Linked DNA regions of Oryctolagus cuniculus. The protein of the gene in region 2 binds, or shares a complex with, the protein of the main gene of each other region. Links are inferred from orthologs where the notes say so. Each region holds a gene or a part of one and is shown on either strand. Other genes may lie near its edges.

Evidence for each region. The genes of interacting proteins can lie anywhere in the genome.
Region 1: the proteins of UBA3 (region 2) and UBE2F are in contact, whole or in part, in a crystal structure (PDB 3FN1), measured with the Homo sapiens proteins. The link is inferred for Oryctolagus cuniculus from reciprocal best matches to the Homo sapiens genes UBA3 and UBE2F. Residues at the interface, in NP_003959.3 of Homo sapiens: Ala401, Thr403, Thr405, Leu406, Glu407, Gly408, Asn410, Arg411, Thr412, Ser417, Val418, Thr419, Ser420, Ile421, Arg424, Thr425, Gln442, Glu443, Ala445, Ala447, Asp448, Val449, Thr451, Pro452, Gln453, Thr454, Leu456; in NP_001265234.1 of Homo sapiens: Thr27, Arg28, Arg29, Val30, Asp34, Lys35, Val38, Lys39, Val41, Ala42, Glu45, Val54, His55, Phe56, Pro57, Asp58, Pro59, Asn60, Leu62.

What each region holds. Positions count from the first base shown.
Region 1 is NC_091434.1:2,367,221-2,377,594, forward strand, and holds the start of UBE2F (NEDD8-conjugating enzyme UBE2F), read right to left. Parts: upstream 5,627-10,374; 5' UTR 4,404-5,626; coding exon 4,381-4,403; intron 2,822-4,380; coding exon 2,688-2,821; intron 1-2,687. UniProt on the Homo sapiens protein: Accepts the ubiquitin-like protein NEDD8 from the UBA3-NAE1 E1 complex and catalyzes its covalent attachment to other proteins. Together with the E3 ubiquitin ligase RNF7/RBX2, specifically neddylates cullin-5 (CUL5).
Region 2 is NC_091441.1:80,253,614-80,264,193, forward strand, and holds the start of UBA3 (NEDD8-activating enzyme E1 catalytic subunit), read left to right. Parts: upstream 1-4,900; 5' UTR 4,901-4,986; coding exon 4,987-5,006; intron 5,007-5,192; coding exon 5,193-5,234; exon of another isoform or gene 5,235-5,674; intron 5,675-7,028; coding exon 7,029-7,149; intron 7,150-8,409; coding exon 8,410-8,490; intron 8,491-10,580. Other genes in the region: ARL6IP5 (PRA1 family protein 3), read right to left, coding at 211-386. UniProt on the Homo sapiens protein: Catalytic subunit of the dimeric UBA3-NAE1 E1 enzyme. E1 activates NEDD8 by first adenylating its C-terminal glycine residue with ATP, thereafter linking this residue to the side chain of the catalytic cysteine, yielding a NEDD8-UBA3 thioester and free AMP.

The DNA of each region.
Region 1 (10,374 bases), on a different chromosome or scaffold from region 2:
AGACGCGGGCAACAAGCCTGCAAAGGGCAGGCCGAACAAACAGCAGCGCAGGCGGCCACCAGCCACCACAGCACACCTCCTCCTCTTCCACCAGGTCAGGCCCACCCTCTTCCTCACCCTACCTCCATCCAGGCCCAAACTACTCACCACCCGGCCAGCCCAGCCTGGCCCAGGTTGCAAGAGTGGGGGACACTGTGTCTACTGCTGTTAACTGCAAATGCTTTGGGCTCTCGGAACTTAATAACCACCAGAGTCCAGGGAGGAGGGGAACAGGGGCCAGGGGTTGGTTCTGCATCACTCCTCGATGGGTCTCACAAGGCCAAGGAACCTCAGCTGGGCCCTGTCAACCCAGCCGAAGACCTCTGCCTCGGAGCTGGTACGGAGTCCAGCCTCGAGAGCCCCAGTGAGTCCCCGAGCCTGTCAGGTCCTGGAGCCACCTGAGGGCTCCCAGGTGAGCCCCTGAGCAGGACCCTGGAGATGAGCTTCTGGGGACTTGCGATTCCATCTGCTGGAGAGCCCAGCCCACCTGCTGCATGGGTCTGGCTACCCTGCTGCGCTAAAGCTGCAACCTGGGCACATCCCTAACCGCTCCAGGTCTCCGCTCTGCAGCTGCAGAGTGAAGCACCCACTCGGCATGGCTCTGCAAGGCAAACGGGGATGACCCGGTAAAGGGCCTGCTATGGTTTCAATTTGTCCAAATCCACTGAAAGCGTAACCCTCACTGGTGGTACTGGGAGGCAGGCCTTTGGGAAGTGATGAGGCCGTGAGGGCTCCGCCCTCGCGAATGCATTAGTGCCTCCCACAAAGGCTGGAGAGAACTGGCTGAGGGCTTTCGGCCCCGCGGTCTCGGCGCTCTCCCCCCTGGAGGATGCAAGAACAAAGCACCACCTTGAAGGAGAGCGGCCCTCACTCACACCAACCCCACTGGAGCCCAGACGCGGCTTCACAGCCTCCAGACCCGTGAGAAATACGTCTCCGTTACCTGCAAACTCCTCAGGCTGCAGTGTGTCACACGGCAGCACACACGGAATACGGTGCCCAGCGAAGGGCCTGGCCCTAGGTGGCCAGTGCTCAGAAGCTGCACGACCGCGTACATGACAGGCTGAGGAAGATGGGCCCGGTCACCCCGGTCACCTGTCAGCTTCTACCTGCTCCTCCTCGGGGGCCCAGCTCTCACTGCAACCCCTGGCGTAAAACCTGCCCCACAAAGGCACCGCAGAAGCACGCCCAAGCCTGCACTTGGCTCACTGGATGCCCGGATCGGAAAAGGAGGCTCCAGTCCTTCCTAACACGCACGGGCATTTCTGGCCCACGTGTCACCCCTGATCCCAGCAGGGTAAACCTTCCAGTGCTGTGACAAACTGAGTATGATCTAGTGTTCCCTGGACTCAGTGGGTAAGGCCAAGAGGATAAAAAGGATAACCCAGGGGCCGATGCTGTGGCAGAGCAGTTAAAGCCACTGCCTGCAATGCCGGCATCCCACACGGGCGCTGGTTTGTGTCCCGGCCGCTCCAGCTCTCTGCTATCACCTGGGAAAGCAGTGGAGGATGGCCCAAGTCCTTGGGCCCCTGCACCCACATGGGAGACCCAGAGGAAGCTCCTGGCTTTGGATCGGCGTAGCTCCGGCCATTGTGGCCATCTGGGGAGTGAACCTGTGGATAGAAGACCTCTCTCTCTCTGCCTCTCAAATAAATAAGTAAATCTATTTTTTTTTTTTCAAAGGATAAGCCAAAGCTAAGATTCGGAGCAGGGGAAGAACAAGGAAGGGAAAGAACAAGGAAGAACACGCTCTTGTCTCTATAAACCAGTGCTTTCCTGTCCCCGTTCCGTCCCCGCTTGGTGGTGATGTGTGTCTGGGAAGGCCAAACCCTGTGCACTTTCCACACACCAGCCTCCTGCCGTCAGAGCCCTTCAGTCACACGAATGCCAGAATCCCATGCTGCCTCTGACCCCACGTGAAAACGGGCAGTTGGAACACACTACTCAACTCAGTGCTTTCCAGCTTCAAGAAGTGTAAACATCTGTCATAAAATACAAGTGCTGCAAAGCACAACCCCTTCAAGGCAGCAACTGTTCGTTACAGTTTGTAGGCTTCATGAGCCCAAAGTGCCCCCCTGCACCTGCACGCAGTAAACCCAGTGAATGAAGGGGAAAGTCACACACACACAGGCAAACCCACGTCACACCCCCACGCATCCCCACGCACTGCAAGTCTGCAAAGCTTCTCAAAGTCGGCTTCCTTTCCAGCAGGGACAGTGCAAACGGATGCAGCGCCAAGACACTGCTGTGCCCGTGACGGGAGCTCATTTGCCAAGGGCGTGCCTCACACTTCGACAGAGTAAACAGGAAAGGATCCCAAGAGACCACCCAGTTCAGCTCCCTCCATCTTACAGACTGGGAGCCACGGTGCTGAGTGGCAGGAGGAGAGGACGATGACAGCACTGAGACGGGCCACGCCTGGGCCTGCCTTCACCTGCACGCTGGAAGGCCCAACAAAGGACATCGCGAAGGTGAGACTCCTGCAGTTCCTAACGCCAGTCCCCGCCATCAGCGTCCCACAAAGCCCTGCTGTAAGCGGTAAGCACGTCGCATTTGAAAACCCGTTTAAACAGGAAGTTCTGCTCAGCAACAGCCTGCTTCGTGTCCCAGAGAGCTTCCAGCACACACAGCTCAGAGACAGGGATTACCTTTCACGAGCAGCTTGTCTCTCACGGAGACCCTCCGCGTGGAGTCCGCCGCCGAGGCTGCCGTCCGGGACCCTCTGAGCCCGTCGTCCCGCTTCAGCTTGCTGGCCAGTGTCAGCATCGCTGCCACCTTTCCCCTGGGAGCAGAGCACAGCAGGGCAGGGGGAGTCAGAGGCCAGGCGCGAAGACACGCCCGCGCTGCATTCTCACTCCCTTCTCTAACGCGCCGAGGGATTTTGCGTTGGTTAGTAAGAACGGGTTCCTCCACGAAGATCTGAGTACTCTACGCCGTGGGCCATCGCTTTCTAGAGCCGGAATGAAAAGTTTACGAAGGCAGAGCTGTGAGCTGCACATTCACCGCGCACCGCCTGTGCCAGGCCCCAGCCTGCACCCTGGTGGAGAGCGTGGTCGGGGGAGCCCCAGTGGTGCTGCACACGCCTCCCGCTGTCCCCTGCAGCCTGTCCCTCCCAGCCTGGGGGTCTGTGCCCCCGGCGTGTGGCCCAGAGCCCAGCCTGCTGGGGATGAGCGAGCCACGGCCTCTGGAGAAGCCGCACCACAGGCCTCGTAGACAGCCCATCCGCACCTCCGCGTCTGCTCATGGTGTGGGCGACTAACATGGCCGGCGACGTCAACATCAAGACTGAGTTACAGTGAACGCCCCACACCACTGTGTGTTCAAGGGCCCCCAGACTGCTCAGGGCAAGGGAAAGAAACACCACCGATTTTTAGGCTTTTTTTTTTTTTAAGTTTTAAGTTCACAATAAAGCTGAGAAGGTTCGGAGATCTCCCATCTCCCACATATCGCCAGTCCCCATGCACACGCCACACCGTCCCCACTACCGATATCCCCCAGCAGAGGGCACATCGGAGTCTACCAATACCTGGACTAGGGCCTGCCCCTGTTCCCAACGAACTGCCGTGAACCCGAGATTCCTGCTGCTCTCACCCCTCTACAACAGAGAGGGACCCTACAACCCTGTTTTAAAGACAAAATCTGGTTACCAGCTCAACATTTCTGCACAATTGTGTTCGCATCATTTCCTTCCTACACCACTCTCCCAGAGAACACCCTGACGGAAGCACGGAGCTGCTCGGAGGCCAAGGTCCTAGAAGCCCGACAGAAGAAATCAGCCCTCTCCTCTCTGGTATTTTAGATTCATTTATTTATTTGAAAGACAGTTACAGAGAGAGGGAGAGAGAGAGGTAAAGAGGTAGAGAGAGAATCTTCCATCTGCTGGTTCACTCCCCAGATAGCCGCAACAGCCAGAGCTGCGTCGATCCGAAGCCAGGAGCTTCTTCCGGGTCTCCCACGTGGGTGCAGGGGCCCAAGGACTTGGGCGATCTTGGCCACAGCAGAGAGCTGGATGGGAAGAGGAGCAGCTGGGACTAGAACCGGCGCCCATATGGGATGCCAGTGCTTCAGGCCAGGGCATTAACCTGCTGCGCCACAGTGCCGGCCCCTCCTCGTTGGTATTTTAAACCATTTTGACCCAGCTCTTCTGTGTAGCGTGTTACGTCCGAGTCCTCTAGACTGTCAGACTTCACTTATCATTTGTGTATGAAAACAAAACACTGACATGACCTTCGGTACTGTGCATGGCCCCTGCCGTGCTGGGAACACAGATACACCCACCTGCTCTAAACAAACACTGCTCTAGGAGCGAGCACCGTGGTGCAGGGTTCAGCTGCTACTCACATGTGCACATCCCACGCCAGCATGAGTCTCAGCCGCTCTGCCTTCCTGCTACCGGCTAGGGCGGCGGTGGATGACGGCCTCCCACCTGGGACACCTGGATGGAGTTCCTGGCTCCCGGCTTTGGCCTGGCCCAGATCTGGCTGTTGCAGATGGAAGATCGACCTCTCTCTCTCTCCCTGTGCCTTTCAAGTAAAAAGCAAGCAGCACGGATTTAAATGTTCCAAAAGGAGCTTTACAGACTAGAGTTCGCGGGCCCCTAGGATTGCAAATCTGGGAAGCACTCCTACCCCTGACTTGCCTCCATTTTCCCAAGTGGACCCTGGGAAAACGGGAACCCCAGAAGTGGACTGTCCAAAGTCACTTCACTGCTAGAAGCAGTCACCACAGAAACACTAGCTTCTCTCCTGGGGAATCACAGACGTGATTTTTATCTTGAGTGTGGTCATGGTTTCAGGGCATACGTACGTCAGGACCGACTGACTTCATGTTTCAAACGTGCAGCTTAGTGTAGCTACAACTGTAACCCAGTAAAGCTGACAAAACTGTGAAGACAACACCAGTTTCTTCATTCTCTCTACCACGCCACCTGCTCAAGCAGGCCCCCACAGGGGCACGGACCCAACAGGGAACACACCTTCACCAAGGCCCAGCGAGCCAGCAGTGCATCTGATGAACTCACTTCACAGGGGAAGAGTCAGGACACCTGTGGGGGCTTCAGCCCACAAATTCCTGGAGCCAGCAGCCCAGTTCCCCGCCCTGGCAGCGCCTGGAGTGACCTATCAGGAACCCCTAAGCAGACTGGAAGCAGAGAGCAGTGCTGGCTTCCACAGCCAAGCCCACTGCCATGTGCCCAGGCTCCAGCACCTTGTCAGGGTCACTTCTGGATGGACCCAGGTCTGCATCCATCCCCCCGGGGTCAGCTGGAAGCACCAGATGCCCCACACGAGAACCAACACGTTTCTGTCCTCTAACTGACCTTAGCATTGAAAATAAGGCAAAAAGTAACAGATAGGCAAAGGCACAAAGTGCTTAAAGACCAGCAGGCAGGACCCCAGGGCCACACGCGTGGTCCAAACCAGCTCCCCGACGACCTAGGCCAACAGCTGCAGAGGGGCCGAGCACAGTGGCCACTCATTTCAGCAACACTGCCCACGCGCCCTGAAGTCCTGTGCGCAGGGGATGCCCACGCGCCCCTGAGCTCAGATCCTGGCTTGCTGCCTTTAATACGCCAGGGACCGGGGGCCAGCGCCGTGGCTCACTTGGTTAATCTTCTGCCTGAGGCGCCAGCATCCCATATGGGCACGGGGTTCTAGTCCCGGTTGCTCCTCTTCCAGGCCAGCTCTCTGCTGTGGCCCCAGGAGGGCAGTGGAGGATGGCCCAAGTGCTTGGGCCCCTGCACTTGCATGGGAGACCAGGAGGAAGCACCTGGCTCCTGGCCTCGGATCGGCGCAGCACCGGCCGTTGCGGCCATTTGGGGAGTGAACCAGCGGATGGAAGACCTCTCTGTCTCTCTCTCACTGTCTGTAACTCTACCTGTCAAATAAATAAATAAAATCTTAAAAAAAAAATACGCTGGGGACCTTCGTAGAACACACCGGGCACCAACTGCCTTGTCTTTCATGGAACACAAAGCTTACTCTCCCCAAATTCTTCGAAATCAAAGCATATCGGGGCCACCTTTTTCTCCGTCTTCTGTAGCCAACACAGAGATAACCAGAGACGCAGCTTGGCAACGTCTCCACGGCTGTGAAACTGAATCTACGCAGAAGAATTCGGGCAAAAGAATCCTTCCGACCGGCAGGAGGTCAGCCGACACCGCTCTGGATCCTCTTCCCTTCCGTTCGCCTCACTTCTCTCTTTTTTTTTTTTTGACAGGCAGAGTGGACAGTGAGAGAGAGAGACAGAGAGAAAGGGCTTCCTTTGCCGTTGGTTCACCCTCCAATGGCCGCCGCGGCCGGCGCACCGCGCTGATCCGAAGCCAGGAGCCAGGTGCTTCTCCTGGTCTCCCATGGGGTGCAGGGCCCAAGCACTTGGGCCATCCTCCACTGCACTCCTGGGCCACAGCAGAGAGCTGGCCTGGAAGAGGGGCAACCGGGACAGAATCCGGTGCCCCGACCGGGACTAGAACCCGGTGTGCCGGCGCCGCAAGGTGGAGGATTAGCCTAGTGAGCCGCGGCGCCGGCCATCGCCTCACTTCTTGAAAACCGAATTTAAAACCAAACTTCCCCTTTCCTGCCATTCGCGCTAAGGCGGCAGTTCAGGCAGGACAGACCAGCTGTCTCCAAACGCCACGGCTCGTAACCGGCCCAGCCGGGCTCCTCTGCGTGGGCCCTGCTCTCAGCCTGCACCGAGGAGAGGACCTGGGTTACATCCAGCCTCAGGTCACTCGGCACAGCTGCACCTGTGGGAAAGCCGGGCCTCCAGGGGCGGTCAGGGCCCGCTGTGGGGACCCCCACGTGGACAACTCCTGCCACGGAGAAGCCCCAGTGCAAGCACAGCAGAGCCCCCCCCACCCCCCGTTCCTAGCGGGCCCCGCTCAGGGCAGGGACAAGTCCTGCCCCTACTCCTCTTCTCCGGAAGCCAGTGCCTGGCCAGGGGGCTGGAGCCCGGCCGCTTGGTTCTCAGCAGTAGACCTGGGCCCGCAGGTACACCCAGGTGGGGGTCCCCAGGGCCTTCACCCCCCTCTGCAGCTGGCAGGCCAGCCCCTCAGCTCCTCCACACGCCCCTGCGCACTTCCAGAAGCTTCCGTCCCCTCTGACACCGGGGCTGGGCTCCTGCACCACCCAATCCTACCCTTCCTCGAGGAGCCCAGAGTCCTGCCTGGATTCCAACTCCTGAAGCCCCGCACCCCGCGCCGAGGGCACCGAGAGGGGCGGGCCCAGGCGAGGAAGCAGTCCAGGCCGGGGGAGGCCACACCCAAGCCCGCGCACCGGCAAACCCGGGTGGGCTCCGGCTCCGCAGCCAGACACCCTCCCTCGCCAGCCCAGCCCCCCCCCCCGCCCGGGGCGCGGCCTAGCGCGACCCCCGCAGCAGCCCGGAGTCCCGGCCACGTCCGGCCGCTGACCTTGGCCCCGCACGATGCAGCAGCAGCCCCGCGACGTGGGGCGGGCGCGGGCCGGTGCCGCTGGGCGCGGGCCCGGCGCCCACCAGTGGCCGGCGCGGCCGCCCGCCGTCGCCACCGCCGCTCGCTCGCCCGGCGAGGCCAGCGCCCCGGCCCCTGTCACTCGCGCGGCCGCGGCCCCGGCCCTGCCCCTTCACGTCGCCGGGCCTCTCGGCCCCGGCGCGGTCAGCGCCCTCCCGGCCGGCCCAGGCCCGCCGGTGCACCGGCGCTGAGGGAGCCCGCAGCCGGCCCCGGCCCCCGCGGGGCCGCGCGGCCGCTCCTCACCTGGGCACCCGGAGACAGGCGAGGCGGGCCCGGCGCCCAACACCATGCCCGGCCCGGCGGCGGCGGCGAGACGCGGCCCCTCACAGCCGCACCGGCTCCGGGCGGCGGGACCGGAAGTGGCGGGGCGGGGACTCGGTCTCTCCTGCGACAGCCGCGAAGGCAGCGGGCGCTTTAAAAAAAAGATTCAAAGCGGCGAAGAACTTTATTTGGAGCCGGACTCGCGAACAGCTGCGTGCGCGGGCCGGGAGGGGCGTCGTGTGGCCCTCGCTGATTGGCAGAGAGCGGCGGCTGGGGGTGGGGACAAATTTTCACGGCCCTGACTGATTGGCCAGTGGCGGCCGGGGGCGGGGCGGGGGCGGGGCCCCCCGCGGGTGCCGGAGCCTGCGCGCCCGAGCTCGGCGTGGGGAGCGGCGGGGCGCTCGAGGCTCCGGGGCTGTGCTGTGCTACGTTCATTCCGGGGTTCGCCCTGGAGGAGCGGCCAGGCCGGAGTCGCCCGCCTCGACGGATGGAGAGCCGGGGGTGCAGAGGCCCTGTCCTGTCCTCGCCGGTCACGTGTGCACCTGCTTTTCTCTCGTGAATGTGTTTAAAGCCTGGTGGGAGCTTTCTGTTCCTAGCGAGTGGAGTGCGAGTCCTTCCCGTGCCGGGGTTCGCCAGGAGTCAGCGAAGGCTCAGAGGGTGAATGACACCTGTCAGATTTGCTGTCCCTGGGCCGGTGGGAGGGAAGTCAGGAAGACTCGAAGCTCCCCCAGGCTTAGCCACCGCTCAGCCCTGGGGGAGGGGGCTGGGGGAGACCCCCTCGGGCCTTCTCCTTGGTGCTGCACCCCTGCGGCCACTGCCTGTGGCCCCAAGTGAGTCCTGGGCGCCCTGGCGCGGGGCAGGTGCTGGGCGCACATCTGCTGGGTAAATATTGCGTCAGCTGGTGGCGGCGAGCTGGCGATAGGAGATAAGAGCTGGGGCCAGGCCCTGGGTGGAGGGAGGGCTGATCAGCCTGGACACCTGTCTTTGGCTCTGAGTGGATCGGCCTGCGTCACACAGGAGGTCAGTTCGTGGCTGCGCCTGGGGAGGCTGCCTCCTCGGTATGTGTTCTGCCATCACCCTCACCAGGACCTCGCAAAGCCAGTGTCTGTAGGGTGAGGTGAGTGAGGCACCGACGTTAAGCTAACCTGGGATTTGCCCCCAGCCGGCACAGTGGCCGCGAAGCAGCAGCGAGGGAGCGGACGGTGGTCCCCAGGTGAATCGTGCCTGCGTCCCAGGCTCTCCCGGAACCCCAGCCTGCACTAGCTCTGGCACAGAAGACTTAGAGGACTGGATGTGAGGAGGGCGGCTCTGGGGGCTCCGGGCCAGTGCCGGGTTCACTGCCTGTGGGCCTGTCCCCTCAGTCCTGTCCTTCCAGGGGCCTCCGCGGAGCTGGGGCCCTGGCCTCTCCGGGGCACTGGGGGCAGGGGGAGGCTTCCCCTTCAGGCTCCTCCCATAGGAGAGGAGGAGGAGACCTTCCCATCCTGTCCACCCCTGCCGCCTTGGGCAGCGGCTCCCTGGAAGTTGGACCCCAAAAGCTTGGGGCATGGAAGGGGGGTGTCCCTGTTTCTGTTCCCTGCATAGCTCACATGTTGGAACCTGTCCCCGTGCCAGCAGTGTTGGGGTGTTTAGGTCACGTGGGCTCCCATCGTGAACAGGGGCACGCCATAGCGAGCGGGTTCTCTGTCTCTGCTTCCTGGAGACGCAGCAAGGCGGCTCTCGAAGCTGCCGGCACCTGATCCTGCGTGGTCGCCTCCAGAGCCGTAAGGAACAGGTTCTGCTCCTTGTCCGTCTCCCAGGCTCTGTAGCCTGTGGAGCCGCACACGAGGGCCTTCTGAACGCAGGCGCAGGGGCCGTGCAGCCTCACCCAGGGCTTTGGGCGCTCCGGCCCGGAGCAGCCTGCCAGCTGGTCGACCGGTGCCTGCTGGGCTCAGGAAGCATCTGCAGATGAAAGTGACCTCTGGTGACCTCTGCCACAGTGTTAATGAGCTCAGGCTGCTGGATGGTGCCAGACTAGGGACTTTTTTTTTTTTCTTTAAGATTTAATTATTTATCATTTAAAGGCAAGAGTTGCAGAGAGAGAGAGATTGATCTTCCATCCACTGGTCCACTCCCTAGATGGCTGCAATGGCCAGGGCTGGCCCAGGCCAAAGTCAGGAGCCAGGAGCTTCATCCCAGCCTCCCGTGTGGGTGGCGGGGGCCCAGCTGCCTGGGCCATCCTCCACTGCATTTCCCAGGCCCTTGGTAGGGAGTTGGGTCAGAAGTGCAGCAGCCAGGACGCGGGATGCCGGCGTCGCTGGCAGTGGTTTACCTGCTACACCACAATGCCGACCCCAGACCGAGCAGGGCTTAAACAACAGGTTTTGTTAGTCCTCTCGCATTTGGGAATGCTGGAAGTGTAAGCTAAGGTCCAGCAAGGTAGATTTTATCCTGAGGACCAGGAAGTGGCCGTCACCTCGCGGTGCACGCACGAGGCAGGGAATGGGCCCCCTGCCATCTCTCCCTTCCTCTTCTCGTTTTCCTTTTGTTTCTTAGAGGGGCAGAGACAGAGCTCCCAACCTCTGGTTAGGTCCCAGGCCGGGTGCCAAAAGGGA
Region 2 (10,580 bases):
CCCCCCGGATGGCTGCGGCCTCGCCCTGCGAACAAGTTTGCCCTGGCGCAGAAATGTGGGGGGCCGGCGCCGAGCCTGGACTGGGGGTGGGAGTCCCTGCATCTCGGGACCTGGCACACGGAGCCCCCGACCCCCGCCCCGTGTCGACCCCGGATCCGTGGCCCCGATCGATCAGTGTCCCCCCACCCCCGGTGGAGGAACCCCACTTACCCCACGACGGAAATCATCATGGCAGCCACCACCAGGTAGTTGGTCTGGTAGTACAGCAGGTTGCTCACCACACGGTTGTTCCATTTGGAAATGTCCCTGAAGTCCGGCCGGGCGAAGCGGTCAGAGCCCGGGAAGAAATCGTCCCAGGCGCGGAGTGGGGCGATATTCACGTCCATGTCTTCTTGGCTTTGGGTTCTTCGCCTCCGGAATCTGGCGGCGGCGGCAGCGGCAACCTATCCGGGTTAAAGAGCTGACAGCGGCTCCGTCTCGATCGGCTCTGCGGTTGGCGAGCAGCCGAGCAAGGGAAATTGGGAGCGGGAGGGCGTGTTTTCGCTCCTTTACTTCTCGATTGGCTCCAAGGGGTTGGTTACGGGAAAATGGGGGCCCCGCGACAGAGCAAGGCACCGAGCACACGGAATGGAGATGAAATGGCACTGAAAGCAATCAGCGGAAATCCAGTCTGCAGCAAGGTGGCAATGCCTTCCCTGACGGTCTAAATAGCAGCCCCCTTTTAACACCAGCGTTTAACCTAGGAATGTGTTTTCTGCCATAGAGAAAAAAATGCGCAGCTGTTCAGATGCTGATCTACGAAAAATGGAAGGAGACCACGGTATCACAAGAGGATGAGCTGTATTTAAAGACTGATTCTTAGTAACTTCTGTCCGATCGACCACAGTACTCATCTGCTTTCTGTTTCACCCTGAGTCACTAAGCGTGAAATCAGATGGGCAAAACGCGAAATAAGGAGGAGAGAAGGAAAGGGCTGTTTTGTTTTTTCACTTCTCTATTTTTGTTCTCCACCTCTATTCCTTTTGTGGCAAAATTATCGAACTGCTATGGCATTCTAAAAAAACTAACCCAGTAGGCGCACAGGTCACTGAAAGCCAACCATTGCTTGTGGTGAACTGATGGTTCTGCACCCTGTATTTTCTGAGCAGAAGCAAGACTTCCACTCCAAAGCAGCTTTCTCAGTTTTATCCCCATATTTGGTGACAATTTTCATTAAGGGAGCCCGGTATTGTAGTAGACAAGGTAATGGTTTGTTTGCCAGCCTCAACAATTGGCAAGAGATGTATTGTAAATACTTCTCTTCCAAGGCCCAGAGGGTCATCTTCGTTTTAGTTATGGGGCTGGTTGGTGCAGTAAACCTCCTCTTCTCTCAGATTCCTGAGCCAAAAGGACAGCCATCCCTTGGAATCCATGGAGGGTTGATTCTAGAATCCCCTAGAGAGCCAAGGCTGCGGATACTCACGTCCTCTACAGAAAGTGGTGCAGTGTTGATGTAGAACCTTCTCACATTCTCCTGTATATTTTACATAGCCTCTAGATTGCTAACGACACCTAATGCAATATTGTTTAGGGAATAATGACAAGAAAATGGTCATGTTCAGCATAGGTAACTTTTTTTAAACTATTTTTTAAAAACTATGTAAACTATTAAACAAACCATGGTTTGTTGAATCTATAGATGCAGAGACTGTATTTTGGTTAATTTCATAGTGTGTTAGGCAGCATGTGGAGATGACCATGTCTAAGGTGACAGGTTCTCACAACTTGGAAGTGGTACTGTTTTAACAAAGATCCAATATTCGTAAATTTTACCAGCTCACAGATTTTCAGAAAACTGGAAAGCACCAAGATATACTCGATACAAAGTCTATAAGAGATAAATTAACATTCCTGGTTGATTCAGAGGTAGTAAGAAACTGACTGTGACTCCAGTGAAATTCTTTCTGCTGCTGGTGCTTAGGAAAGCTCGGTGGCTGAACTGAATTAGTGCCAAGACAGATTCTAGGTGCTGCTAAAACGTGAAAATATCCCGAGTTCTCACACTTTCTTGGCTCTGGAAATGTGAGGGTTAAAATCAGAGAAAGCAAAGTTAGAGTCCTAGTTCCTCCCTCTCTGGCAGGTGACTTTGGGAAAATTTCTTCACCCCCTGCCCCACCAGCCTGAATTTCTTCATGATAAAGTGTGGAGAATAGGCCATCTGCCCATCTGCCACATAGGTCAGGATAAATGAAAGACTGGATGGGAAGTGTTCAGTGTTAGTAAAATAGCACAGTGTTATCTGTGGCGCGATCTACACCATCCTTGGCTCTAGCCCCAGCTGCCATTGCTAGAAGTCAGGTGACCAATAGCCCAACACCTCTCTCTCTCTCCCTCTCTCTCTCCCTCTCCCCCCTCCCTACTGTCAGATTTCCCCTGTCAATAAACCCTCTCCCTTAATTCTGGTGTTTGGTATGTTAGATATTTTGGTTCTTATTAATAATAGGACCGCCCATAATAATTTTTTAAATGATTCCTGTGCTTTTACAATGTCGTCCACTGACTTTTCTCTATTTTGTGGCAATGTTGTGGTGGTGGTTTGCCAGGGGAAGATATAGACAGAGGGAGAAACGGTTGAGAATGTTCAGGACATTGCCAACTGACATTCTAAGTGGTTTCAAGGCTCTGTGAAAGCACTGTGGAGTCAAAAACAGGGAGAATGAGGCAGCCCCTCCCCGCCTGCAGGGATCCTGCAGTGCAGCAGAAAGTCTATTTAGATGTGAGAGTGCCAAAGCGAGATGTGCCAGGCCTTGGTGTTCAGTTACAGGAAGTTAGAGGGTGTGGAGGAATTTCCTGGGGCTCAAGACTCTCCCCAAGCCACACTGTGAGCAAGCTGAGAAAATGATCTGGTCTAGATGAGCGGAGCATGGGAGCCGCAGGAGGGTCCCACACCTGCGACCCAGAACTCTCAGCTTCCAGCTGCTCTGAACTGCATCACCAGAAGCCGTCTGGTGACAAGGCGACAACTCATCATCCCAGACCATCAATTTGCTCAGTGCATTTGTATTTATTTGTTGAAACCTCTAAAGAGGTTTCAAAACTAAACAAAACAAAAGCAGGGCAGGCATGCTGGTGCAATGGATCAAGCCATTGCTTGTGATGACAGCATCCCATGTCAGAGTGCCCTGGCTCGTGACTTTGGCGATAACTGAGGTGTCCGTAGCTTTTCCCCAGGGGAGGTGGCTATGATGCTTTCGGCCACTAATAGAATACTATTTTGAAAGCGTCCCTGTGGGAGGGGCAGCCTCTAGGAGATCATTTTGATAGGCAAGGATTTCACCTCCATGGAGCTGTCTGGGCAAGAAGTGATTTCTGAGTTGATACAGAAACATGTGATCCAGAAAGGGGCTGGTGTCTCCTGCTGTGGGCTGTTGACTCCACTGCCGCACTCACTGCCTGGCACTGACTCAGCTCAGTGAAAGCCGTTGATGAACCCAGCTGGGGATGCTAAGGACAAGGCTTCCTTAAGGTTCAGTGGAGAAGACCACAAAGAACAGAGTAAACATCGCACTAATGTAACAGCAGCTACGCAGGCTGCGTACCCATTAGACAAAAAATACTTCTCCATTTCAGTGGTTCTTAAGCTTACGACTTCAGAATCATCCAGGGCTGGATTAGATTCACAACAAATTCCCAAGTAATGTTGATCAGGCCTTGTGTTTTGAGAACCACTTTGCTTAATTCTCAGTCTTAAAAGGCCAAAAACAGAAACAACCAAAAAAAAAAAAAAAAAAAAAACCAACCAAACAAAAAAAAACCAAAAAAACAAAAAACAAAAGGCCAAGCATTTTTTAAAATGACTGCTTTAAAAGAAAGTGCCCAAGGTCCTATAGTTAATTACTGAGAAGTAACAACTTAAATTTAGTTCTTTCTGACTTCAAATCCACTGGTGTCCTTCTCCAAAGAAGGATATGTCCGTGTGTTTGAATATATTTCTCTACCCCAGCATTCAGATTCACCTATACATGTATACACACTTCTGACACTGGAAGAAAGCAGTTAGAATGTTGTCACACGTATCTTTAGGTGATGGGATTATGAGTGTTCTAAGTCAGTTTTTAATTTTTCCTGCTTTCTAAGTATTTTTCTTCTATCTAAATACATATATTTATCTGATGTCCTCAAAGTTTTCCAGTATAGTTCCATTTTTGCTGAATTTATCTGACAGAATGAAGTGACACTAAAATACTGATTTTTTTCAAAAAGTAAAAAAATAACAAAATTCTATCCTACTCCTGTGAACAGATTTAGATAAATCTGTTCTTTTTTGAGAGGCAGAGAGAGAGAACTTCCATCTGTTGGTTCTTTCCCCAGATGGCTGCAACAGTTGAAGCTATGCTGATAAGAAGCCAGGAGCCAGGAGCTTCTTCTGGGTCTCCCACGTGGGTGCAGGGGCCCAAGCACTTGTGCCATCTTCTACTGCTTTCCCAGGCCACAGCAGAGAGTGGGATCAAAAGTGGGGCAGCCGGGACTCAAACCGGGGACCATATGGGATGCCGGCACTGCAGGCGGTGGCTTTACCTGCTACCCCACAGCTTCGGCCCCTTTAAATCTGTTCTTAAAGTGTGGACCTACACAGGCAAAGATTTTTGGGACGGTTCTTTGCTCCGGAGGCAAGCTCTAGCATACTGGAGTTAGCCTTCCAGGCATTTTTTCATTGAATATACCAACATTATATGTAATTCTTTATCAGCATATACATTGTATAAAAACAGAATGCTTTGCGTCCACATTTCACCCTGCGTGACATTACACAGGGCATAAGAGTTATCTAATGAGGGGTAGCTAATTAAGATCCTAATTGCAGCGGGACGCTTGCTTTCAAGCCCAGGGGCGCTAAGGCGCAGCCGACCCCTCCCCATCGTTGCAAGCCCCGCCCTCCCACAAGTCCCGCCCCTTCCCGCCGACTCCGCCCGCCGAGAGGGCACCTGGGAAGAGGCGGAGAACAATATGGCGGATGGCGAGGAGCCGTAAGTACCGGGGCTCTGCCGGCGCGCCGGGCTGGGCTGGGTTGTGAGAGAGCGCGGCGGAGGGCGGTCGCCGCCCCCACCCGGGGTCCCCTCCACTCCCCACCCCGTCCCCTCGCCCCCCATCCTCTCGCGGCGCCCAATGTGTAGCGTGATGCTGACCCTTCTTTTATTCTCTCTTTCTTTTAGGGAGAAGAAAAGAAGGAGAATAGAGGAGCTGCTGGCTGAGAAGTTAGTGCTGCCGGGAGGCCGGGGCCCTCTCCGGGGACCCCCGCCTCCCCTTACCCCAGGCCTAGGGGACCAGCCGCAGCGGGCCCATGGGGCTGGGAGGGGGGCACCCGGAGCTCAGGCCGCGCGGCCTCTTCCCCTGACCCCGGTCCCGCAGCAGCCCCGGGGGCCCCCGAGGGCCACTCCAGATTTGTGCCCCGGCGGGCGTCGGGGCCGGGGTGCACCTGCAGGGCCTTCAGGGGCCGCCGGGGCGTCTGACTTAAAGGTTTTGCGGAAGGACCGTTGTGCCCCCCTCTTCCTCCATCCCAAATTGTCATATCCTTGAGCTTGTGAAAAGGGAATCCAACTTACACACACACCTAACGGACACGGGGCCGTTTTGTTTTTGCCTTTCGTAAACACTGAGACAATAGTGCACACTGTGTGTGAAAACTGTGTTTCAGGTACTGTACTAAGCACGTCAACCATTTCTGCGAAATAATTGACTCTTAAAGGAGGGTGTTGACACCAACAGCTTATTTTTTCCCCACTTACCATACACCCCGTGTCTTACCAGATGATTAGTTTTGTGCTGGTGGGACAGATTTACACAGTGTTTTCGGACTGAGCCAGCGCCACATAATTTCTCTCCTCCCTACATGGGAGTGGAAAATACTCTCGCAGTGGGTGTGGTGAGTTTGTAATTTCTCTGCCAATTCCTGGTGCTTTGGTCATCCTGAGGTCTCTTCCCCCAGAACTTGAATTTCAACTGCTTAGAGTACTGGAATGACAGACTTTCCTCACCTTTGATTTCCCTTCCACTTTTGCACAAAGTGCACGACATGCCCCATCCTTTATTAAGTCCTCTGTGTTAATATCGCTTTATCCTCCTGGCCCTAAGAAGTTGCTCCCAATAGCCTGCAGTTGAGGTTTATGGCTATTCAGTAATCTGCTCAAGGTCATGGTGCTATTAGTTGTGGAGCCAAACCCGACTGCGCATCAAGACCTATGGTCTTTATTACTATGCAATACTTCTGGGTGTTACCAACATACTTGAAAGTAGAAAATTAAAAAATAACCACAACCAGATATGAATCTTGGCACTGATAAGACAGTTTGTACACTTTGGTAGAGAAGTCCCACTTTATGCAGTTGTATATCCTGAAAGGTTTCTAGGTGTGATGACAAGCTGAGTTTTTTTTTTTTTTTTTTTTTTTTTTTTTTTTTTTAACTGTAGTGGCAACAGAAACCACCTCACAGGACTCAGTAATTTTTGAAAATTTGGACTCCTGTTTCTGAGAAAACCATGTCAAAGCTTCTGTCATCAGAAATGATCTTTGAATCACACCTTTCAATAGAAAATAAAGAACACATGGGTGGTGGTAGATTTGAAGCCTCAGTTCTTAGAGTGTCCCTTTTGTTGTTTTCCCATGCATATGACATTGCCAGATCAGCTGACTTGAAAGAACATACTGGGGAAGGCTGCTGTGGTCTTGTGTAAATACCACATGTAGACAAGTCCATTTCTTACCCATAGACCAACATCCCAAGTTTGACCTTGGATTACTTGAGGAACAGGTAGACTGATTTTATTTTGTCAGGTGGATGAAATAAAAAGAAAAAAAAAATAGAAGCAATCACAGGCAGTTCTTAAGTGAACCGTATAATAGACAAGTGATAGGAGAGCATAGACATGACCACATTGATCATTCCCTTTCTGTTTGAGCAGGTCTTTTCATTTGGGGAAACCATAATAACTGTAGGTGTGGCTTTTTTCCGGACTGATCTTTGCAGCTGAATTTACTGTGTTCTGTGCAGAATGGCTGTTGATGGTGGGTGTGGGGACACTGGAGACTGGGAAGGTCGCTGGAACCATGTAAAGAAGTTCCTCGAGCGATCTGGACCCTTCACACACCCTGATTTCGAACCGAGCACTGAAGTGAGAAACGTTTATTTTTAAATAACTGCTCTAATAGTTTTATGTTTCAAACATAGTAAAATGCTTCCTTTTTTAATTTGCTCTTATGAAAACTAATTTTCTTATAAAACGTAGTATTTTGAAATACTCAATTGTATATTTACAATTTACTTGAGTGAATAATATTTGAGTAATTTTCACATTTCTCACGTAATATAAGTTGAAAGAGTTCAAGAGGAAAATAACTTCATAACTTTTAAAAATTCTGTTATACTTAAAACTCCAGTTCAAAATGATTTGAGACAAATTCCTCTTCAGTAGCCCTACTATAAGATAAAAGTATAGATATGCTTATTTAAATTTTGGAATTTAGTTGGATTATCTTAGAATTGAATATATTTAGTTGCATGTCAAAAATTATATGAGTGCTAACAGTGGCATAGAATTTTTGACTGATAATGTCTGACTTAAAGAAAATGTTCAATTAGATACCTGTTTTTCATTAGGTATAGGAAAGTAAGAAAAGTATTTTTACAGTAAGTACTTGTGTCCTTTTGTAGCTTTTTTTTTTTTAAGAGATACTGTTTTGAAAGAGAAATATTGTAGTACTCTTAATGTTAAGACTTCTGAGTTTGGCACAGTGTCTTACCTGAGTAACTTTTCTCCTTTAATGTTATATAGAACTGACAGTATTAATTCTGCTTTTTTTAGCTGATATACCTTATTTTCTTTGGTTTCTGATACTTTTTGCCTGATAATTTAAAATGACCATTTCTGTTAAATAAATGTTTCAAATTGTATTTCTGAAGACATGTAGTTTTCTCAGTTTTTCTTCCCATCATGTTTTATAAGTTTACCTTGCTATTATTGTTCTTACCTTATTTTTTTAGACTTTTGAACACCTCAGTGCTTGATCCTGGATTTTTAAGATTTTTAAACTTTGTGTGATTTTTAAGGAGTCAGTTCTCAATTTGAGGCTTTCCATTCCCTTTCAAAAATTAAGGAAAACAAGCGAGGATAGTTTTTCTTGTAGTCAATAGATGTTTAATTTCAGACAATAAAAGTCAATTTAAAAACAAATTCTCTGAAATCATTAAAGTTTTAGAGTTTCTGGTTGTATATAATTCATAGATTTGAAATGATCTGTAAAATATAAAAGGATGTTCTTTATCCTTAATTGCATTTTTGGTGGAAATGTTGAAAATTTTCTTATGACTTGTTGTTTGTGGATGGTATTTATGATTATCAGCAGATTTTAATGTGACTTTTTGTTCTTTACAGTCTCTCCAGTTTTTGTTAGATACATGTAAAGTGCTAGTCATTGGAGCTGGCGGCTTAGGATGTGAGCTCCTCAAAAATCTGGTAATACACATGTATATATAAAATGTCTCTCCCCTCCCCCTTTGTGATAAATAAAGCAGTTTGCTTTTTTTAAATACTAGGAAATATCTTTTTTTCTTTTTTAAAAAAAGCAATTTATTTCAGAATAGGTTTAAATTTATGACAGGAATTGTGAAGTGGTACAGAGTTCGCACATACTCTACACACCAGCTTCCTTTATTGTTAATATATTAGTATATTTGTCAGAATCTGTACACCATGCCCAGCTTCCCATTATTAATACCACATTTCAGTAAACTATATTTATTACAATCTATATCCAGCATCCCTTAATATCTAGCACTAGGAAATTTCTTTATTGTGTTTTCTTTTAAGATTTGTTTTATTTATTTGAGAGGCAGAGTTATAGACAGAGAGAGGTTTTCAATCCACTGGTTCACTCCCCCAGTGGCCGCAATGGCTGGAGCTGGGCCAACCCGAAGCCAAGAGCCGGGAGCTTCTTCAGGTCTCCCACATGGGTGCAGGTGCCCAAGGACTTGGGCCATCTTCTGCTGCCCTCCCAAGCACATTAGCGGGGAGCTGGATCAGAAGTAGAGCAGCCAGGACTCGAACAGGTACCCATATGGGATGCAGGCAGAGGCTTAACCTACTATGCCACAGCACTGGCCCCTATTGTGATTGTTAGCCTTTTCTTTCCTTTTTTTTTTTTTTTTTTTATTTAAAGATTTATTTATTTCTTTGAAAGGCAGAGTTACAGAGGTGTAGAGGCAGAGAAAGAGAGATCTATCTGCTGGTTCACTCCCCAGATGGCTGCAATGGTTAGAGCTGAGCTGATCCGAAGCCAGGAGCCAGGAGCCAGGAGTTTCTTTTGTGTCTCCCGTGTGGGTGCAGGGGCCAAGGACTTGGCCGTCCTCTGCTGCTTTCACAGGGCATAGCAGAGAGCTCTATTGGAAATGGAGCAGCCAGTGCCCATATGGGATGCTGGCACTGCAGGTGGCAGCTTCATCTGCTATGCCACAGTGCCAGCCCTGATTGCTAACCTTTTTTTTGGAGCTTTTGTTAGATAAGTTTAACAGGTCAGATTCTATATGGTAATTTAAGTGATAATATGACTTTGAAACTTTGTAGACTCTAAAGTTCTCAGTTATATAAAGTCATTGATAAATTTATGTTCATTTACTTCTCTGCTCTTTATTGAGCAAATTTTGGTACTTTCTTGTGAAGTGCTCATTAATTTCAGTGAAATAAATAAGAAAACAGATAATTCAGATTTTATTGTGTGGTTTCAAATAATTTAGTATTTTTCTTCTCCAAATAACCCAGATAGGTGGGTAGGACGTTCATTGTCTTGTTTTACCTAGACATAGGTTATGTTGAGGTTAGAGATGTTAAATGACTTGTCTGAGCATTTTGGATTGTAGTTATGTGCCTGCAATCTAATCTGGGTCATCAGTCCTTAGTTAAGTGTTCTTTTTCACTAAGACATTAGCTCATTATTTGACTTAATGAGATGGTAACTTTTTTTTTTTTTTTTTTGCCAGGCAGAGTTAGACAATGAGAGAGAGAACAGAGAGAGAGATATAGACAGTGAGAGAGATACAGAGAGAAAGGTCTTCCTTCCATTGGTTTACTCCCCTAATGGTTGCTATGGCCAGCGCTGCACCGATCCGAAGCCAGGAGCTGGGTACTTCCTCCTGGTCTCCCATGCGGGTACAGGGACCCAAGCACTTGGGCCATCCTCTGCTGCCCTCCCGGGCCACAGCAGAGAGCTGGACTGGAAGAGGAGCAACCGGGACAGAATCTGGCGACCCAACTGGGACTAGAACCCGTGGTGCCGGTGTGACAGGTGGAGGATTAGCCAAGTGAGCCACGGCACCGTCCCGAGATGGTAACTTTTGATGACCATATGGTGGTAGATACATAAAACTTGGGAAAACTAAGATTTAAAAAAATTATTTATTGTTGATTTCTCTTGGAAAGGTAGAAAGAGAGATGTCTTCTACCTGCTGGTTAATTCCCACAGATGTCCACAACAACCAAGGCTGGGTCAGGCTAAGATCAGGAGCCAGAAACTCAGTCTCAGTCTCTGACGTGGGTGGCAGATATCCAAG